Linked DNA regions of Callithrix jacchus. The protein of the gene in region 2 purifies or fractionates together with the protein of the main gene of each other region. This does not show direct contact. Links are inferred from orthologs where the notes say so. Each region holds a gene or a part of one and is shown on either strand. Other genes may lie near its edges. The genes, in order: POLR2J, MED1 and MED9.

The links.
Region 1: the proteins of MED1 (region 2) and POLR2J purify together in Homo sapiens (affinity purification with mass spectrometry; 3 studies listed by BioGRID and IntAct, with this or other methods). This does not show direct contact. The link is inferred for Callithrix jacchus from reciprocal best matches to the Homo sapiens genes MED1 and POLR2J.
Region 3: the proteins of MED1 (region 2) and MED9 purify together in Homo sapiens (affinity purification with mass spectrometry; 8 studies listed by BioGRID and IntAct, counting the BioPlex papers as one, with this or other methods). This does not show direct contact. The link is inferred for Callithrix jacchus from reciprocal best matches to the Homo sapiens genes MED1 and MED9.

What each region holds. Positions count from the first base shown.
Region 1 is NC_133503.1:11,371,090-11,378,317, reverse strand, and holds the start of POLR2J (DNA-directed RNA polymerase II subunit RPB11-a), read right to left. Parts: upstream 4,662-7,228; 5' UTR 4,590-4,661; coding exon 4,537-4,589; intron 1,927-4,536; coding exon 1,837-1,926; intron 362-1,836; coding exon 187-361; intron 1-186. UniProt on the Homo sapiens protein: Core component of RNA polymerase II (Pol II), a DNA-dependent RNA polymerase which synthesizes mRNA precursors and many functional non-coding RNAs using the four ribonucleoside triphosphates as substrates.
Region 2 is NC_133506.1:119,863,776-119,869,891, forward strand, and holds part of MED1 (mediator of RNA polymerase II transcription subunit 1), read right to left. Parts: intron 4,212-6,116; coding exon 968-4,211; 3' UTR 1-967. UniProt on the Homo sapiens protein: Component of the Mediator complex, a coactivator involved in the regulated transcription of nearly all RNA polymerase II-dependent genes.
Region 3 is NC_133506.1:69,655,735-69,661,245, forward strand, and holds the end of MED9 (mediator of RNA polymerase II transcription subunit 9), read right to left. Parts: intron 3,400-5,511; coding exon 3,183-3,399; 3' UTR 1,541-3,182; downstream 1-1,540.

The DNA.
Region 1 (7,228 bases), on a different chromosome or scaffold from region 2:
TGGCTCTGATCCAGCCCACAGCAGGAGAGGAACCCTGCAGCACTACAGAGGTCAGACAGGAGCCACAGGCCTGGAGCCTGCAAAGAAGTCCCTGCTCTTCCATCAGCACCGCTTCTCCAAAGAAACAGCCCAGGGCTGTCACCAGCTTGGCAAAGGGGCCCAGCATCCAGCCCGCCCTGCCCTCACCCGGAAGCGTTCCTCCAGCAGGGACAGCTCGCTGATGAGGTCAGTGATGGCGTTGGTGAAGGCCTCCTGAGGGCTGTAGTCCGGCGTGGTCTGCACTCGGATGATGATCTTGTGCTCCAAGGGGTGGGGGACTTTGTAGCCGGCAAATAGCACCTGTGGGTCCTTTAGCAATTGTCTGAAATCCAAGGAAGACAGTGTGAGAATCTAGCCTTGTGCCCTCTAGGCTCAGGCCAGGCAGAAGCCGGCTCAGAGTGAAAGGACAGGCTTTCTAGCCAAATATTCCCCCCGGTTTTTTTTTCCCCCCCAAGAGTCTTCAAGGAAAGCAATGCTTTCAGGAGGATAGATCATATGGGGACACCCCACCCCCAACTCGGACACACCCTGCATGCATGAAGTTGAAGGGGAGAAGACACACACACCCCCTCCCTGCACCCCTAAGGTTGAAGGACCTGAGCAGGAAACAGCCTCCAGCAACCTCTTCCCACAAAGAACCACAGGGCTGGCAAAGAGATCTCCCAGGCAGTGGATGTCCAGCCAGTGTTCAATGAATCGGACCCAAAAAGAACATCCCACAGCAAATAAAGGCAGCAAGGAGAGGAGGGCCCAGGCTCTGGGCAGCATTGTGTGCTGTGCCCTGGGCACGCAGGGTCTCCTGTGAGCACCACAAAGGACACCCGTGCACAGCTGGCAACACTGGGCTGGAGGAGAGCATAGGGGCTGCACTGGCTGGACTCCGGGGAGGAGTCCTCCATCCCTGTGCCTGGGCACACCTCTCACAGCCTGGGAAAAGCCTGGCTTCACTGATGGCACCAGAGGGAAGAGCCAAGTCTACAAGTGAAATGACAGTCACATTCCTAATCAACCACCTAGCTAGGACTTCAGTGGTGTAAAGGAACACCCATGAACCAAGGCCAGGCACCTGTCTGGCACTGGACAACCACAGAACTCCCCTACCTCTTTCCCTTGTTAAACACAAGTTCTCATCTCTGCCACATACATCTTAAGCGTGCCAGGTGGCACTGAGGTCACAAATAGGGGTGGCATTGGGGGAGCTAATCTTGACTGCTGCTCAGTGCCCCTCAGCCCATGAACACACAGGCCTACTCTGCTGGAACCTGCTCTCACTCACTCACAGAACGTGCACTTAACAGTGAATGGAAGGCTGGGTGCGTGGCTCATGCCTGTAATCCCAGTACTTTGAGAAGCCAAGGCAGGTGAATCACCTGAGGTCAGGAGTTCAAGACCAGTCTAGCCAACATAGTGAAACCCCGCCTCTACTGAGAACACAAAAATTAGCAGGTCATGGTGGCCAGTCCCAGCAGGAGAATCGCTTGAATCTGGGAGGCAGAAGTTGCAGTGAGCCAAAATTGCGCCACTGCACTCTAGCCTGGGCAACGAGCAAAAACTCCCAAAAAAAAAAAAAAGTAAATGCACGTTTGTCTACAGAATAAGCCACTACAGAAGCGTAGCTTATGTGAAGACATGAAGGTCAGCGTCATTTTGATAAAGTACCAACATTACCAAATGCCCAGAGCAAGCCCCCAGAAGGACTTCCTGTAGCTGAGAGATGGAGGAAAATCTTAAAACTTCTGTTTTGCCCAGAGGCGCCTATTAAACATAGCCCCTGAGAGCCTTTGACGGGAAACTTACGATTTAATGATGTTTCCCAGTGTGTGGTCTTCTTTGTTGATGGTGAACAAACAGGCATTGGGTACCTTGGTGTCCTTGTTAATGGTGATCCTAGGAAGACACAGAGGCCACAGATGAGGGACAGGGGCTCCCCTCCGCCCACCCCAAGTCTAAACCCTGCCTCCTTCGGACCAGGTGCAGTGGTTCATGTCTGTAATCCCCACCCTTTGGGAGGCTGAGGTAGATGGATGACCTGAAGTCAGGAGTTCCAGACCAGCCTGGCCAACATGGTGAAACTTTGTCTACTAAAAATAAAACCCAAACTGGGTGTGGTGGTCCATGCTTGTGTTCTCAGCTACTTGGGAGGCTGAGGCAGGAGAATCACTTGAACCTGGGAGGAGGTTGAAGTGAGCCAAGATTGCGCCACTGCACTCCAGCCTAGGCAACAGAGCAAGACTGTCTCAAAAAAATAAAAATGAAAAGCTCTGCCTCCTCCTGAAGACCTTTCTCAATCTCTTCCTCCCATAAAGACCTCTCCAGCCTGATTCCCTACCCCAGGTCTGTGGAACCTTGGCCCTTCTCGGAGTTCCTCCTCTTGTCTTTCCTCTCCCTCTCTTTTAGAAGAGATGAGGTTTTGCTTTGTCGTCCTGGTTGGTCTTGAACTTGCCTCAAGTGATCCCTCCTGCTGCCCAGGCTGGAGTGCAGTGGTGTGATCACAGCTCACTGTAGCCTCCAGCCTTAGCCTCCTGAGTAGCTGGGACCACAGGCGCATGCCACCATGCCTAGCCTGCTCCTTTTTTTCTTTTGAGATGGAGTCTTGCTCTGTTGCCCAGGCTGGAGTGTAGTGGCACAATCTCGACTCACTTCAACCTCTGCCTCCCCAGTTCAAGTAATTCTGCCTCAGCCTCCTGAGCAGCTGGGGTTACAGGCGTGTGCCACCATGCTCGGCTTTTTTTTTTTTTTTTTTGCATTTTTAGCAGAGACGGGATTTCACCATGTTGGCCAGGCTGGTCTTGAACGCCTGACCTCGTGATCCAACTGCCTGAGCCTCCCAAAGTGCTGGGATTACAGGCGTGAGCCACTGTGCCTGACTGCCCCTTTTTTCTAAGGTAGTTTCTCCATGTTGACACCACAGACGTTTTAGGCTGCATGATTCTTTCCTGTGGGGTGCTATCTTGCTGGACAGCAGCAGCACCCTGACCTCTATCCAGTAGATTCCAGTCATAACCCCCTTTGACACCATAAATGTCCCCAATTATTGCCAAATGGTCCCCAGCTGAGAGTCTGCTCTAAAATGAGGCCAAGCCCGGTGCACTGGCTCACACCTGTAATCCCAGCACTTTGGGAGGCAGAGACGGGCAGATCACCTGAGGTTGGGAGTTTGAGACCAGCCTGACCAACATGGAGAAACCCGGTCTCTACTAAAAACACACAATTAGCCGGATGTGATGGTGCATGCCTGTAATCCCAGCTATTCAGGAGGCTGAGGCAGGAAAATCACTTGAACCTGGGACATGGAGGTGGAGGTTGCCGTGAGATCACACCATTGCACTCCAGCCTGGGTGGACAGAGTGAGACTGTCCAAAAAAAAAAAAAAAGGCCAAACTGGCCGGCAAGGGCCAGACCAAGACCTCTGCACGCCAACCTGGGAACAGTAAGAGCCAGTGGTTATGAGGTCTTCCAGGTGCCGAGCTTTAGACCAAGTGCTTGACACAAATTACCTCATCCAATTCTTTTTGAGACAAGATCTCACTCTGTCGCCCAGGCTGGAGTGCAGTGATGCGATCACAGCTCACTGGAGCCTGCAACTCCTGTGCTCAAGCCAGCCTCCCAAAGTGATGGGATTAAACGCGTGAGCCAGCGCACCTGGCCAAATCCCATGTTTAAGAACAGTAATAGACCGGAGGCCGTCACTCACGCCTGTAATGCCTGCACTCTGGGAGGCCGAGGCAGGAGCATCAGCTGAGATTGGGAGTTCGAGACCACACAGGCTAATATAGAGAAACCGCGTCTCTACCAAAAATAAGAAATTAGCCGGGCGTGGTGGCGCATGCTTGTAATTCCAGCTACTCAGGAAGCTGAGGCAGGAGAATTGCTTGCACCTGGGAGGTGGAGGTTGCAGTGAGCCGAAATCGCGCCATTGCACTCCAGCCTGGGCAACAGGAGCAAAACTCCGTTTCGAAAAAAATGAAAAGTAACAAATCCATTTTCCAGAAAAGGAAACAGGGCCTCCAAAAGATCACGGCACTCGTACAGATACAGTCGCTAAGTGGGGGACCCAGGGGCCAAGCCCAAGCTGTCTCTCCCGGGGACTCCTTCAACCAGCAGGCAGCAAGAAGCCACTGCGGCTTTTACACAGGCCGTTGGCAAATCAAAGGACACGGGGGATGGAGGCGGCGGGCGGAAGACAAGAGAGGAGGCTGCCACGTCCCAGAGGAAGAGGGCTATGGAGAGCCAGACACTCTGGGTTCGAATACAAGCCCCGCCACCTCCTCCGTGTCTGGGGCAACTTGCTCCTCCGAGCCTCAGTGTCCTCATCTGCCAAATGGACACACTCGCCACTGCCTCCCGGAACTGGCTTAAATTTGGCCGACACAGGCCGTGCGGACTATCAGGCAAAAGCTGCTTCCCTCCCGGAGCAAGACATGGGCAGGAAACGCCCCCGGAATGCGACAGTCGCAGCCCCGCAAACCTCGGCTCCTCCCAGCTGGCGTCACTTACTTCTTCTCGCCTTCGAAGAGCAAGAACGACTCGAAGGCTGGAGGGGCGTTCATACTCCTGCCGCCGCCGCCGCCGCCGCCGCCGCCGCCGCCACCACTGCCGCGTCCAGACCCTAAGCGTCCGCTGCCGCCGCCTCCGAAGCCCTAGTAAGAGGCTTCTTCCGGATTACTCTGGCGGGTCAAACTAGCGTAGGGACCAGCTCATCGCCCCCTATTGGGCTGGAGGATCTTGCGCAGGAGCGAGAAAAGCCCGAGCGAGGCCAGTACCTCTGCGCCTGCGTCAGTATGGAAGCCCCACCCCCCCAACTCCCACCCCCTCACCCCCTCGTGGCTTTCAACGTGGGCGCTTTTTGGCGCATGCTCAGAGCGCCGGGAGGGCTGCTCTGCCCCTCCAGAGATCTCCTAATCCTGACTGAGTGGAAACCCCAAGCTGTGCCTCTCTGCTCCCCACGACCCTTGATCTCGCTTTGCAACCGTGCACCCCCTTGGAGTGCACAGCAGGAGGCCCCTGAATAGAGAGAATAGAGCTAAGGGGAATGGGCAGCTGCGGCTGGCAGCCGTGAGGGGAGCTGAGGAAGGTCTCGTGGCCAGAGGCAGATCTGTGCTAAGCCCCCTGCCGAGGCTGCCTACACCGACTGCTGTGAGACCCCTGGCTGGGATGCCACTGGCTTGTTAGAAGGGAGGGACAGTTGGGTGACGGATGGGGAAGGAGGCGGGTGTATACAGCAGTGAGAGGGAGCTCGGAGGGTTATGTAAATCTTTTTATATATTATTATCATTTAGAGACAGTGGCTCACTCTGTCGCCCAGGCTGGAGTGCAGTGGTGCCATCATAGCTCAATGCAGCCTCCAACTCCCGGGCTCCGGAGATCCACTTCAGCCTTTCAAGTAGCTAGGACTTGCAGGCACGTGCCATCACACCTAGCTAGTTTTCTTTTAAGAGTTGGGGTCTTGCTGTGTTGCCCAGGCTGGTCTTGAACTCCTGGCTTCCAGCAATTCTCTCATCTCAGCCTCCCAAAGGGCTAAGATTGAGCCACTGCACTTGGTGGATAAGTCTATCTTACCTTTTGGTTTGGCTGTTTTGCAGACTACAGTTTAGCATAAAGGCCCTCCTTGAGACGGAGTCTTACTCTGTCGCCCAGGCTGGAGTGCAGTGGTGTGATATCAGCTCTGTCGCCCAGGCTGGAGTGCAGTGGTGTGATACCAGCTCTGTCGCCCAGGCTGGAGTGCAGTGGTGTGATATCAGCTCTGTCTTCAGGCTGGAGTGCAGTGGTGTGATATCAGCTCTGTCGCCCAGGCTGGAGTGCAGTGGTGTGATATCAGCTCTGTCGCCCAGGCTGGAGTGCAGTGGTGTGATACCAGCTCTGTCGCCCAGGCTGGAGTGCAGTGGTGTGATACCAGCTCTGTCACCCAGGCTGGAGTGCAGTGGTGTGACACCAGCTCTGTCGCCCAGGCTGCAGTGCAGTGTCGACATCATAGCTCACTACAGCCTCAAGCTCCTGGGCTCAATCCCACCACGGTGGGAGGCTGAGGCAGGCCTCCCACGAGGTCAAGTCCTCCTGCCTCAGCCTCCCCAATAGCTAAGACCACAGGCAGACACCACAGCACCCAGTTATTTATTTATTTTTTTTTTACTTTTTGTAGAGATGGGGGGGGGGGGGTCCAACTTTGTTGCCCAAGCTGGTCTCAAACCCCTGGCCTCAAGTGATCTTCTCACCTTGGCCTCCCAAAGTGCTGGGATTATAGGCATGAGCTCCACCCCAGCCACACACGCCATGCTGATTTGTTACACGTTGGCTGTAGTTGCTTTTGTGCTACGTGGCAGAGTGGTTGTGACTCAGAGCTGCATGCCTGGTCCTTTACAGAAAACGTTTGCTGATCCTAATCTCAGGGATTGTGGCTGTGTTGACTTTCCTGCTTGTTTGATTACAGCCCAGACACTGAAGTTACTTATTAACTTGCAGTTTCTATCCCATAGAAAAGAAAACTTCATTAACTGGTTCGTATCTAACATCACAATCTTTGTCTGGGTTGCTTCTCTTAAAATGCTTACTGGCCAGGCACAGTGGCTCATATCTGCAGTCCTAGCTCTTTGGGAGGCTGAGGAGGGAGGATTGCTTGAGCCCAGGAGTTTGACACTAGCCTGGGCAATAGAGCGAGATCTTGTCTCTACTACAAATTTTAAAAATCAGCTGCGCATAGTAGTATGTGCCTGTAGTTCTGTTTACTTAGAAGGCTGAAGCAATAGGATCTCTTGAGCCCAGGACGTCGAGGCTGCAGTGAGCTATGATTGCACCACTGCACTCCAGTCTGGGTGGCAGAATGAGACCCTGTCTCAAAAAACAAAAAAACAAAAAAAAACTTACAAATACATGAAATACATGTACCCAGATTCTCAGAATCATACATGATTCAGAGTTCCCGAACACTTCTGAACTGATGTGTAATTGATCTTTGATGGGTGTTCATTCTATATATGAATCATTACTATTTTTCTTTGTATGTATTTGAAGTTATACTTTGACAAGGCTTTGTGTGGAGGCGGTTGCTGCCAATCTGTTCAGATTTCCAAAGAGGTTGAGAGAAGCAGGCACTGGATGAGCTGGGGCCCCTCAGGGCTTCCCAGGGTGCCTGCTCTGTGGCGAACACCAGCCCCTGTGCTGCAGATAGCTGCCTGGGGGTCCAATCAGATCA
Region 2 (6,116 bases):
TTTCATGCCATTGGGTCAGGAAGGCTGTCCTACACTAAACCTTACTGCATCTGAAAATGTTTACATCTCAAAAAGCCACCAGCTTTTTTTTCTTTTGAAAGGAAAATGAGATTACAAATCATTACCTCCACAGGGAGGTGACTCCTAATATTCCTATGATCTCTGAATCCTATTTAAAACCTCCTAAAATAAAAATATCATTTTGGTTTTTCTATTATATTTAACTTTAAAGGCGGCTCTGACTAATCTGCTTGGGCTTGATGCTACAATATTAGCACAAGCTATAAGCTCCCTACCACCATATAAGCCTTGCTCTTCCGCCTCCCATCATTTTGAACCCTAAACCTCATAGATTTAAAACACTGTATAAAAACAAAGGGTTAAAATATTACAAATAAATAGCTAAAATAATCTTCCCTCCCCCAGTCACTCCTAAGAAACAGACACCAAACATTACTTAAGTGTCCAAAATGACCAAAGTCCTTCATTTGCCCATGACTCAAATGGACAACTACCCCAAACAAAGTTGAACAACCTTCATGCAAATGCATCAAGGAATGTATTGCTTTTTCATTTTCTGCCCAGCCCTTCATATACATGCACTAAAATGAGTTTAAAACATGGCCTAAAAATGGAAAAAGGGAGAAGAAAATATATGTGAGTATTTCCCACAAAACTGTTTCCCACCCTTCCCTCTCCCTACATCCCTCCCACCCCGCCCTTCCCTTTCTTAAGCAAGTATTTTAACTTTTTCTTTCTGGCACAGGAACAAAGACTTCTTGGTAACCCTGTGGTCTCTTTAACAGGGTCTGGATATGCCTTTCTAATTCACCCAGCTCAGGGTCAAAGCCATGCCATTTAGTATTAACCAAATCAGACCTGTCGGACTCACCCCTTACAGTGGTTTGCCTATAAACTTATCAATATTTTTTTTCTCTGCCTCTGTTTCTTTTAGGAAATAAGGTTCCTAATTGCCAATCAGGGCCACATCCATAAGATCATCATCTTCTTCCCCAATCATAAAGTCTGGGCTGAGCCTTGAGGGCCTGTCTGCAGATAAGATTGTATTACTTGTCATAGACAAGGATTGGTCTGAAGAGATGGGTGATTTGGACCAACTCTCTGGCTTGATGCTGTGAGATTTTTTCTTGTCTCGGTCTTTGTCCCGGTCTCGGTCCCTATCTTTGTCTTTTACTTTCTTCTTTTCCTTTTTGTGCTTCTTATGTTTCTCTGTGCTGTATTCTGGAAGTGGTCGGATGCCATCATCTGAGCTGGGACTATTCTGATAAGATTTCTCTGCTATGGAGGAGCCTGACTCACTTTCACTGTCCAGATTCTGGGGGGTATATGCTGGTGACTTACTATGGCTGGGAGAGCCACGCTCATGCTTTGGAGTGGAACCACTGATGAGTGGAGAGCCATAGTTTTTAGATGCCATCTGAGGTCTAAGCCCTTCTCCACTACTTTCCCCAGGTTTCTGCAAAGTCACTTTGGCTTTAATGCTGGGGGAGCCTCCATCATGCTTACTGATGATAATTTTTGCCACACCTGTGCTCCCCACATTTTTTGACTCTGAGGTCTTCTTAGAAGAATCCACTGAACTCCCAGAGGTGGAAACCTTTGATTTGTCTTTATCACTTTTCTCCCGCTTGCCCTGAAACTCTCCTCCTGACATGTTATGTTTGGAGGACATAGGATGGCTGGAAGAATTTGTGCTCACCCCCATCTGGCCGTCCATTGGGTCTTCACTCCCAGGGCCACTGGTGACAACCCCGTGCTTCAGTTTATCTATGACGGCTGTCAAGGACGGCTTCTTATTTCTGCTGGGAGATTTTCCTTTGGAACTCCCATGCTGGTTCTGAGAGGATGACATGGAAGAGCCACTTGAGGAAAAGGAGGAGGAAGATGCCGTACAAGAATTAGATGATGGGGGAGTTTTCTGGGACAATGAGCCTGAGGATCCTAACCCTGAAGATGACTTCATGCCAGAGCTTGAACTAGTTCCTGACATATGAGAACCACCAGAACCTGAACTGATAGGGGACTTGGCTTTAGAGGATGGGGGAGTTCCAGGAACAGGCTTCATTGGGGAGGCAAGTTTATCAGAGCCTCCAGGTGGCCTTGAATGAGAAGGGGATATGTTTGGTTTACTTAAAGGATTCATAAGTGATGATGGCTTTCCTTGAGGTTTCATCTTGGTGCTACTAGAGCTGCTGCTCAGTCCATGCTTGGTAATAGGAGAGGAGCCTGGCTTCCCTCCAGACTGCGAGGAATTTTTGGACTGGCCAGATCCAGAAGATCCCTGGCTAGAGTATATACTACTACTTAACTTGGAACTTGATGAGCCTTCTGATTTACTGCTTTTCATCTTCCCTGAGGTGGAAGCAGAAGATGAGGAAGAAGAGGAAGAATGGCTATGGTGGCTTTTGCTGCCTGAGGAAGACACAGAACCACTGCTGGTATACTGACTATGAGAGGAAGGCTTACCCACCATCACTGTTCCCTTAGGAATCTGAATAGTGATTTTGGGAATGGGTGGTGTGGCAACACCTGGGGGAGTCTGAGATCTTCCTGAACTGCCTGGAGATTTAGATCCACCTGTACTGGTAGGAGGGGTAAAAGGTCGGTTAGAAGAACTATGAGATGGCGACTTTCCCTCAGTGTCTGCCTTCTTCCGCTTTGGAGGCTTATCTTTGTTTTTCCCATCATTAGAAGGGGTCCGACTGCGCTTCCCTGGTTTGCTGTCTAATCCTGGCCCCGAAAGAGTACTATTACTGGTGCCATTGCCTTCCTTTACCCTCTTTTGAGTCTTTTCTTTCCCTAAGTCCCCAGTGGCCAGTAAAGGACCTTGACTACCACTGTGATGCTCCATAAGATCTGCAGGACCTAAAGCTTTGCCAGCTACTGATATAATACTGAAATCAACTGTGTCAGCTTGGTTATTGCCCTTAAACTTGGTCTCCCCATTATCACCTCCAAGCATTGGCACCCCCAAAGTATTTAGTGCCTGAGATGCAAATCCTTTGAAATCATCATTATCCCCACTTTGGCTGCTTTCATCAAAATATTCTTCTCCAAAACCACTTTGGCTCTGGCTGTTCAATAAATCAGGATTGAAATCTACTCCATCATGAAAAAAATGATTTGTAGGAGAGTCACTATTGGGACTTCCAGCAGCATCTGCAATAAGGTCAGCTGGATCAGTGTATGGATTTTCATTATTGTTAGTTTGAAAGACATCAGAGTCAAAGAGGGTACTCTGAGAATGCCCAGAGCTTGAAGAATCTCGAAGAGGGGTGCCAATGGCTGGGCAATCATCACTAGTGCTGGGAAGCTTAGAAGCTTCTTCTGCAATGTCTGAAAGGATGTCAGTTACATCTGGGCCAATGCTGTCTGAACTGGATAGTCGGACCATCCTTTGAATACTGGGTTGGGGGTGAGGTACTGGTTGTGGGTAAGTTGTTGGGGGAGTGCTACACTGGCTTGGAGCTGGAGTGATATGTGGCGTATCCAGTGTGTCAGCTGTCATGTTGACATCGAAGATAGGGTTCTGTGAGTCAACATCCATTGAAAATAACTCCCTCTGAAAGTCATCTTCAGTCTGGTGCTTTGGTTTGTCAGGTGGTAATCGTGATGACTTCTTTTTCTTGGTCTTGTTGCTACCCGAGCATATATCCATCCGGGGTGAGCCAGAAGAGGAGTTCTGCCTCTCTAAAGGGCTGCTTCCATAAAGGGTTGAGAAATCCTGGGCAGGATTATCTTTAAGAAGGTTCATGAGCATCGGGTGGTTCTTGGTGTTGCCGGCCATCGAAGAGACAGGTGGCGGCGTGTGATGAGGAGGGGTCGGACTCGAGCCAATGGTAGACCCCCCGTTCCCTGTGATTTGCAACAAACTGGTAAGAATTGGGTTCTGAGACACCTTGCTGAAGTCCTCCCCATGGCCCACCGACTCATGCCGATCTTTGATGCTCATGCTCATATTAAACAAGGTGGTAATGGGACCCCCCGGAAAGGTGTTGGTTGGTGTAGTGGTACCACTCATTGGGTTGTTGCCTGTGGTCATGCCATACCCTGGGCTGCTAGCCGGGGGCAGGTTCTTTTTCACCATGTCTTCAACTGTCTCTGCAATGAGGGACAGTGCTGGGGTGTCGGCCTGAATGGTTTCAGCTTTCCTCCGAATAGCCCTCATCGTCACAGGGATGGACATACATCTGCAAGATAAGATAGAGGAAAACAAAGTTAATATTGCAATAGCTGCTGAATGAGACCTGAGATTTAGATACAACATAAGAGTTTTGCAGTAAGCAGTTTTCAGGTAGGGCAAATAATAGTTCTATCAAATACCAGAGCTTTGGGTAAATTCATTTGAAAAATCTAAGCCAAAATGAAATTGTCAACCTCTTAATAAGAGTCACACAACAAAAGCAAACTATAATCAAGAGTCCAAATAATTGGACTTCAAACTGAACTAAAAGAAAATTGGTAATAATGGAACTCAGTAAGAAAATATCTCCTTAGGGTGGGCGCAGTGGCTCAGGCCTGTAATCCCAGCACTTTGGGAGGCTGAGGGGGTGCATCACTTGGGGTCAGGAGTTTGAGACGAGCCTGGCCAACATGGTGAAACTCTGTCTTTACTAAAAATACAAAAATTAGCCAGGTGTAGTGGTACACACCTGTAATCCCAACTACTCAGGAAGAGGAGACAGGAGAATCACTTGAACCCAGGAGGCAGAGGTTGTAGTGAGCCAAGATCATGCCACTGCACTTCAGCCTAGGTGACAGAGGGAGACTTTGTCTCAAAGTAAAAAAAAAAGGAGGCCAGGTGCAGTGGCTCACACCAGTAATCCCAGCACTTTGGGAGGCTGAGGAGGGCAGACCACAAAGTCAGGTGTTCAAGACTAGCCTGCCCAACATAGAGAAACCCGTCTCTACTAGAAACAAAAAATTAGCAGGGCATGGTGGTGGGTGCCTGTAATCCCAGCTACTCAGGAGGCTGAGGCAGGAGAATTGCTTGAACCTGGGAGGCAGAGGTTGCAGTGAGCCGAGATCATCCAACTGCACTCCAGTCTGGGCAACAGTGCGAGACTCTGTCTCAAAAAAAAAAAAAAAAAAAAAAAAAAAGCCTTCTTCTGGGAGATTCATATGATAATTATAGGGATATATAACTTATTTTAATTAAGGAATCATTAGAAAAATCTCTTGACCCATCAAGTTCTAAACCTTAATGGCCTAGATCATCCCAAAGCTACGCTGTTATAAAAAGTGCTATTTCAGGAATGAAATCTTGTTTATTATAAAGCAAAGCACTTTTTATTTTCCAGATAAATTTATATTCATAAACCTCAGTTTGCAAATGTTTTGCTCTGGGACATATGTCAGCATATTTTTCTTTTTTCTTTTTTGAGATGGAGTTTTGCTCTTGTTGTCCAGGCTGGAGTGCAATGGCTCAATCTCAGCTCACTGCAACCTCCATTTCCTGGGTTCAAGGGATTCTCCTACTTCAGCCTCCCAAATACCTGGGATTACAGGCATGCACCACCACGCCTGACTAATTTCGTGTTTTTAGCAGAGATCGGTTTCTCCATGTTGGTCAGGCTGGTCTCGAAATCCTGACCTCAGGTGATCCACCCACCTCTGCCTCCCAAAGTGCTGGGATTACAGGTGTGAGCTACTGTACCCCGCCAGCATACTTTTCTTATAAGGCCACATAGTTATCTGTTAGGCTTTGTAGGTCATATGTTTCCTGTCCACTTACTCTGCAATATTAGCTAGAAAGCTGCCACAGATATTTAAATGAACAGCAGTGTACCAATAAAATTTATTTACAAAAATAGCCTGCCACACCTGGCTGTAGAAAAATCCCAAAAAATTACATATTAATGTTTCTGGGATGCAGACTGGCTTAAGTATCTCCCATGTAACATTTAAGTTGGTGTTTTTGTTTGTTTGTTTTGAGATGGGATCTCACTCCATCGACTAGGCTGGAGTGGAGTGGCGCAATCTCAGCTCACTGCAACCTATACCTCCCAAGTTCAAGCGATTCTTCTGCCTCAGCCTCCCCAGTAGTTCAGATTATAGGCACCTGCCACCACACCTGGCTAATTTTTGAATTTTTA
Region 3 (5,511 bases), about 50 Mb from region 2:
CTAAGAGTGAGTGCGGGGTGGGGGTGATGTGAAGTTATCCAGCCTGTTAGGCTTCAAGAAACCGTCCTGCCCGGCTTGAGGGTCAGGACCCACGGGGCATTATCTTGTCTGTGATTCCGGGTTGCCATGACAGCCGGCAGAACCTGTGCCCTCCCAAAACTAAGGGGGGCTGGGTCAAATCATAGCCAAGTGACTTGTTTACATGTGAGTGAAACTGCACAAAGGAACACAAAACCAAACTTGCACTTTAACAGTAGTTCCGGTGTCAACACGGACACCAACAAAACCTCACCCTGGTATTTGTACTGCGTGTGTGCGAGTGAGGTCTTTATTACTGTTGGTTTTTAAATATACAATAAAATAATTTAAAATGGAAAACCGGTTTTTCTTTGCTTTTAGAGATGGCTGGAGGCGGGAAGGGTAGGGAGAGGGAAGGGGCTGGGCTTTGACTTGTGTGGAACTAGAACTTAACCTTCCTCGGAACTGGAAAATACCCTGCCCTTCTGAAAGCAGCTTTGGCGGCCAGAAAGGCCCTAGGTGCCTGGGGCATCTATGCAGGGGATGGTTCCCTACAAAACCAGGACGAAGGTAAAGGATTTCAGGGTCCCTCCTGGAGATGAACTCTTTCTAGCCACCTACCCGCTTAATTTTCTTTGTGTTTGATGACAAAAGGCCTCATTTTCTAAGAAAACGTTCTGAATTCTCCTTAGCCCAAGGGCCACTGGAACTGTGCCTAGCCATTTTGTCACCAGACTCAGTGTGGGCCCAGGCGAACTCTCAGACTGGGAGGTATCACTCAGGCCCTGAGGAAAGACCCTGAGACCCATCTGGAAGCAGGTCCATCCAGGTGCCCACTCCCACCCCCTCCCTCCAGGGTGCCACCCTGGCAGGAAACAGCTAACCCTTGGGCGTCTGCTCCCTTCTAGCTCCAGGCAGTGCTCAAGCCCAGGAGTGGAGCCCCATGCACCCCTCAGCCTTGCTATCTCCCTCTCATGCCTAAGGCACCCAGGAACACCTCTGTCACTAGTACTGCAAACCTGGGGCAGAGCACCCTCTGCATGGGCTTGCTGTGAGGATTAAGTGTGGTATCTGAAAAGTACTTAGCACAAATGCATGCCACCCAGTAATCCAAATAATTAGTGGCTTTGAGAGGGTGCTCAGCCCTGTGAGGAACACTCAACAATTGTCCTAGAAGGATTTCAACCCTGCTCAGGGAGGGCAGTTCTGGCAGGACTAAACCTCCAGTCACCAAAAGGCACTGGACCCCCACTCCCACCCTGCCACTCCATCAAAGGCAACCACGGATGCCCAGGGGCCCGTGCCAGGCAGGGGCAGGGATGACCTGCCAGGCAAACTCCCCTTGAGGCCAGCCGGGAGAGGAGTTCCTGTTCCACACTGGTTCAGCAGGTGAGTGGAGGGAGTTGAGGAACAGAGGGTTGGTTCTGTGTCTGAACAGAGTAAGAGAAACATTTTCCTCTAAATGATCTGAGAGCATCCCACTATGAATTTCTCAGTACAGAAAGCATGATGTCCAGAAACAGCAGAGTACAAGTCCTTTTAATTATGCGTTTGAATGTCACAAGTCAAAACAGGAACACAAGGTAGGCTCCAGCTCCCTCCACCCGCGTGAGGAGCCCTTGTTCATTTCAGCCTTGCATTCAGACCCCAAGGGTCTTAGATTTCCATGTGCTTCATGTTTCATGGTATCTGTCAGAGCCTTAAAAGTGGCCGACCCGCAACTGTGAAATTTCAAGGAAATAACTGATTCAGTTAAATAACAGTTCCAAGGTAGAACTGGTCTAACAGGTGACCACCCACTTGAATTCCGAGCCTACTTTTTTGTGCAAAGCCACTGAAATCTGGTCTCCTCCTTCACACATCCCCAGGTCCCCAATATACCACCCACATTCTGATAGGTAGCTGCAGTTGGACACTAATGGCAGCTCTGCTAAAAACATCTTCACCCAGTCCTCCTACCAATGAGGTCAGTTGGCGGGCATCTGCTAAGTCCCCGAAGTGGTCAGCGCAGGTTGTGTGCTCATTCCTAGACCCAAACAACACTCCAGGACTTGGCACCCCCTCTTGGAGAAGCAAGGGTGAGAACTACTCCTACCTCAATTTGACAGTCAAGGGAGAGCAAACAAAGAAAATGTCCCATCCGGAAGAAATCAGGGATGCTGGGGAAATGAGGGCTGCTATAAACCTTTAAGAGCTCAAACTTGGCTGTGTCACTGTCAGGCCTAGCTCATGGCTGAGGACCACCCGAACTGCCCCTCTCTGAACACAAGGTGCATCATGAACCCCTCTGCAGCATAGTACACATCGCTGCCACAAGTGAGAACAGAAGGGAAAGACCTTTTCACCACGGCAATGGGAATCTGAAATGACAGAAGACAGGTCTGTCCGCCTGAAGACCTCTTCCAGCCTGAGTGGAAAGGACGGCCCCTTGCCAGCCCTGGGCACTGACTGAAGGTGCCGAGCAAGGAAGAGAGCAAGCGCTGAAGGAGAGGAGAGTGCTAGGAAGCAGGGAAGCTGCAGCCAGGGGCTGCCTGGCAGGGGTGTGGGCCGACACCCCCACAGCTATAGTTCCTTCACCGCTCAAACAGAAAAGGAACCAAACTGGGAAAAAAGCCACCCTGTGGCCTTTCAAAACATTCTCTCACAGCTCTATGCCATATGAGCGCAGGCTTAATTTGTCCAGTGGATTCTATGCAAGTGTTTCAAGAAGCTGCTGCTAACAGGAACAATATGTACCTGGTACACACTGATCCTATGGGGGTGGGAGGAGGGGGAGGGAAGGAAGCAGAGAGGAACCGCCTCCCTTCTTACTGTGTTCTTCAGATCTGTCAGTGGGGCTGGATGCGAAGCAGATGGCCCCCTCCCCAGAGGCAAGGGAGAGTCCTCCACCCCCTCCGCAGCCTCCAGGAGCATTCTGACTTCCACCAGCAGGCACTCCAGTTATTATGCATCTAGACATATGGATCTACACAAGGAAGCCCCAGCACAGCCAAGCTCTCGGCGCTGGCTCCCGCACAGGAACCCCGCCCCTGCAGCTTGAAGTTCTGAGCTGGGTTCCACAGGAACTGTGCCCCAACAAGCGTTCGGCCGGGGGGGTAGTGGCTGTGGGGTGACAGGCCATTTGCTTCCCTCTTTCTCAGGTGCTCCTGGAAGTCGGCCTCGCTCTACTCCTTGGGGATTTCGAACATGCAGAGGCTCTTGTACTTTTGCAGAAGCTCGTTCTTGGTCCTGACTTGATCCCGGAGGCTGTGCAGCTGCTGCTGCTGCTGTTCAGGGCTCAGGTGGATGCCGGGCATGGTGCTGATGAGCTTGCGCATCTCCTGGAACTTGGTTTTGAGGGTGTTCAGGTCCTGGTGGACCTCGGGGCTGTCCTTGTCCATGCTGCGGGGGCAGAGTAAGAGCCATGAGCATTCGCAGCTTGATACTCATCGTGGCTTTCCTGCCCTGCACCCCCCAGAGCTGGCTGTCATTCCTGCAACAGCTTTTAGAACACTTTGTCAACTGTTACTCTGTGAGGTCAAGGACCATGTCTGCCTGGTCACAGATGTCTCCCTACCCCTGGCCCAGTGTACAGGGCACTGCAGGCACTCAAGAAATATCCATGGAAAGAATGAATGCTTGGCAAATAAGCTCACAGAACATGTATTCAATGAACAAACCAATACCAACAGCAGGTGACAAATGCCAAACACAACTTACTGAAATACGACATTTCGTCTAATTGGAGACATTTCCAGACCAGTCAGGAGGCTCTACCAGCTAGCAAGAGCTAACTTTAGTGGAGGTTTTGATACTGGCTTGAACTGGTTAACATAAAGACTAATATCCACAGAGCTGTTCATAAATTTTAAAGTTTAGTTAATTTAAATGTTTCAGCAGACATAGGCTCTCTTCTACTATGGTCATGTACACTCCTTACCCTTTGAGTCAAGTTCACTTTCAAAGCAGATCATTCGCTCCATCTCACAGCTACTATTAGCTGCACAGAGCTCCCACTCAGTGAAAAACGAGGCAAGAATAACCTCACCTGAGATGAAAGAAACAGCCTGAAAGTTGCTCCTATACTTTTTTTTTGTTTGTTTTTTTGAGACGGAGTTTCGCTCTTGTTACCCAGGCTGGAGTGCAATGGCACGATCTTGGCTCACTGCAACCTCCGCCTCCTGGGTTCAGGCAATTCTCCTGCCTCAGCCTCCTGAGTAGATGGAATTACAGGCGTGTGCCACCATGCCCAGCTAATTTTTTGTATTTTTAGTAGAGACGGGGTTCCACCATGTTGACCAGGATGGTCTCGATCTCTTGACCTTGTGATCCACCCACCTTGGCCTCCCAAAGTGTTGGGATTACAGGCGTGAGCCATCCTATACATTTTAAAAAAGTTAGTTAAGTGGACCGGGCGCAGTGGCTCATACCTGTAATCCCAGCACTTTGGGAGACCAAGGCAGGCAGATCACCTGAGGTCAGAAGATCAAGACTATCTGGGCCAACATGGTGAAACCCTGTCTCTACTAAAAATATAAAAATTAGCTGGGCACGGTGGCGCATGCCCCAGCTACTCGGGAGGCTGAGGTAGAATTGCTTGAACCAGGGCGTCAGAGGTTGCAGTGAGCCGAGACCACACCACCGCTGTACTCCAGCCTAGTGACAGAGTAAGACTTTGTCTCAAAAAAAAAGTTACGTGGTTGAGACCAAAACTAAAAGGCAACTCAGTAAGCTGTTCTAAAAGTAAGTCATTGAGGCGTAATAGGAAAAAACTGTCAATGATCATTAATTTTTTTAAATAAATGTTCATCTGTAGTGGAAAATTTCAATCCAGATGGTGCTAATTCATGTTAACTATTCATCATTTCTCCAGAATATCCATCTTTCTTGGCGATCCATCAGTTACGTCTCACACCTTGCAATAAGATGGCCACCATGGCCGGCTCAGTATTTACCAACAGCTCCAAACTCAGGGTGGGGGGTTTGGAGAATCAATCACTTCTTCCAGGAAATGAGAGGCCAGCCAAACATTTGTCATTTGATGCCCTCAACTGAGAGACGCCATTACAGTATACGTTATCTCAGATTCTAGGGAGGACGAACTGGTAGTCACACGACAAGTAAAAATTGTTTGGAAGGAAGCAAACAGGGAACTTCTTTTATTTCAATTCTTTGGAGTCTCTGCTCTGATCCACAAACGTGGACAGAAACCATCTGGATTTCTGAAATCATTCTACTTGGATGGCATGTGTGTTAACATACTGTTATGAGTTTAAATCCCAAGGGAGTTTCAAAATTAAAATATGGTTTTAAAAAAACCGATTCACATCACACGAGCCTGAAAGGACATGGTAAAACAAACAAAAAAGTACACAAAATAGAAATTTGGATGACAGATAATTCCATTCTTGAAGCAAACATAACCTGGCCCAAAAGAAAATTTAGTTCTGAAAGTTGAAAGTGAGTCATATTTAAGATGCTCATCTCTGAAAACCCCCAAGTTGCAGGGGCTGC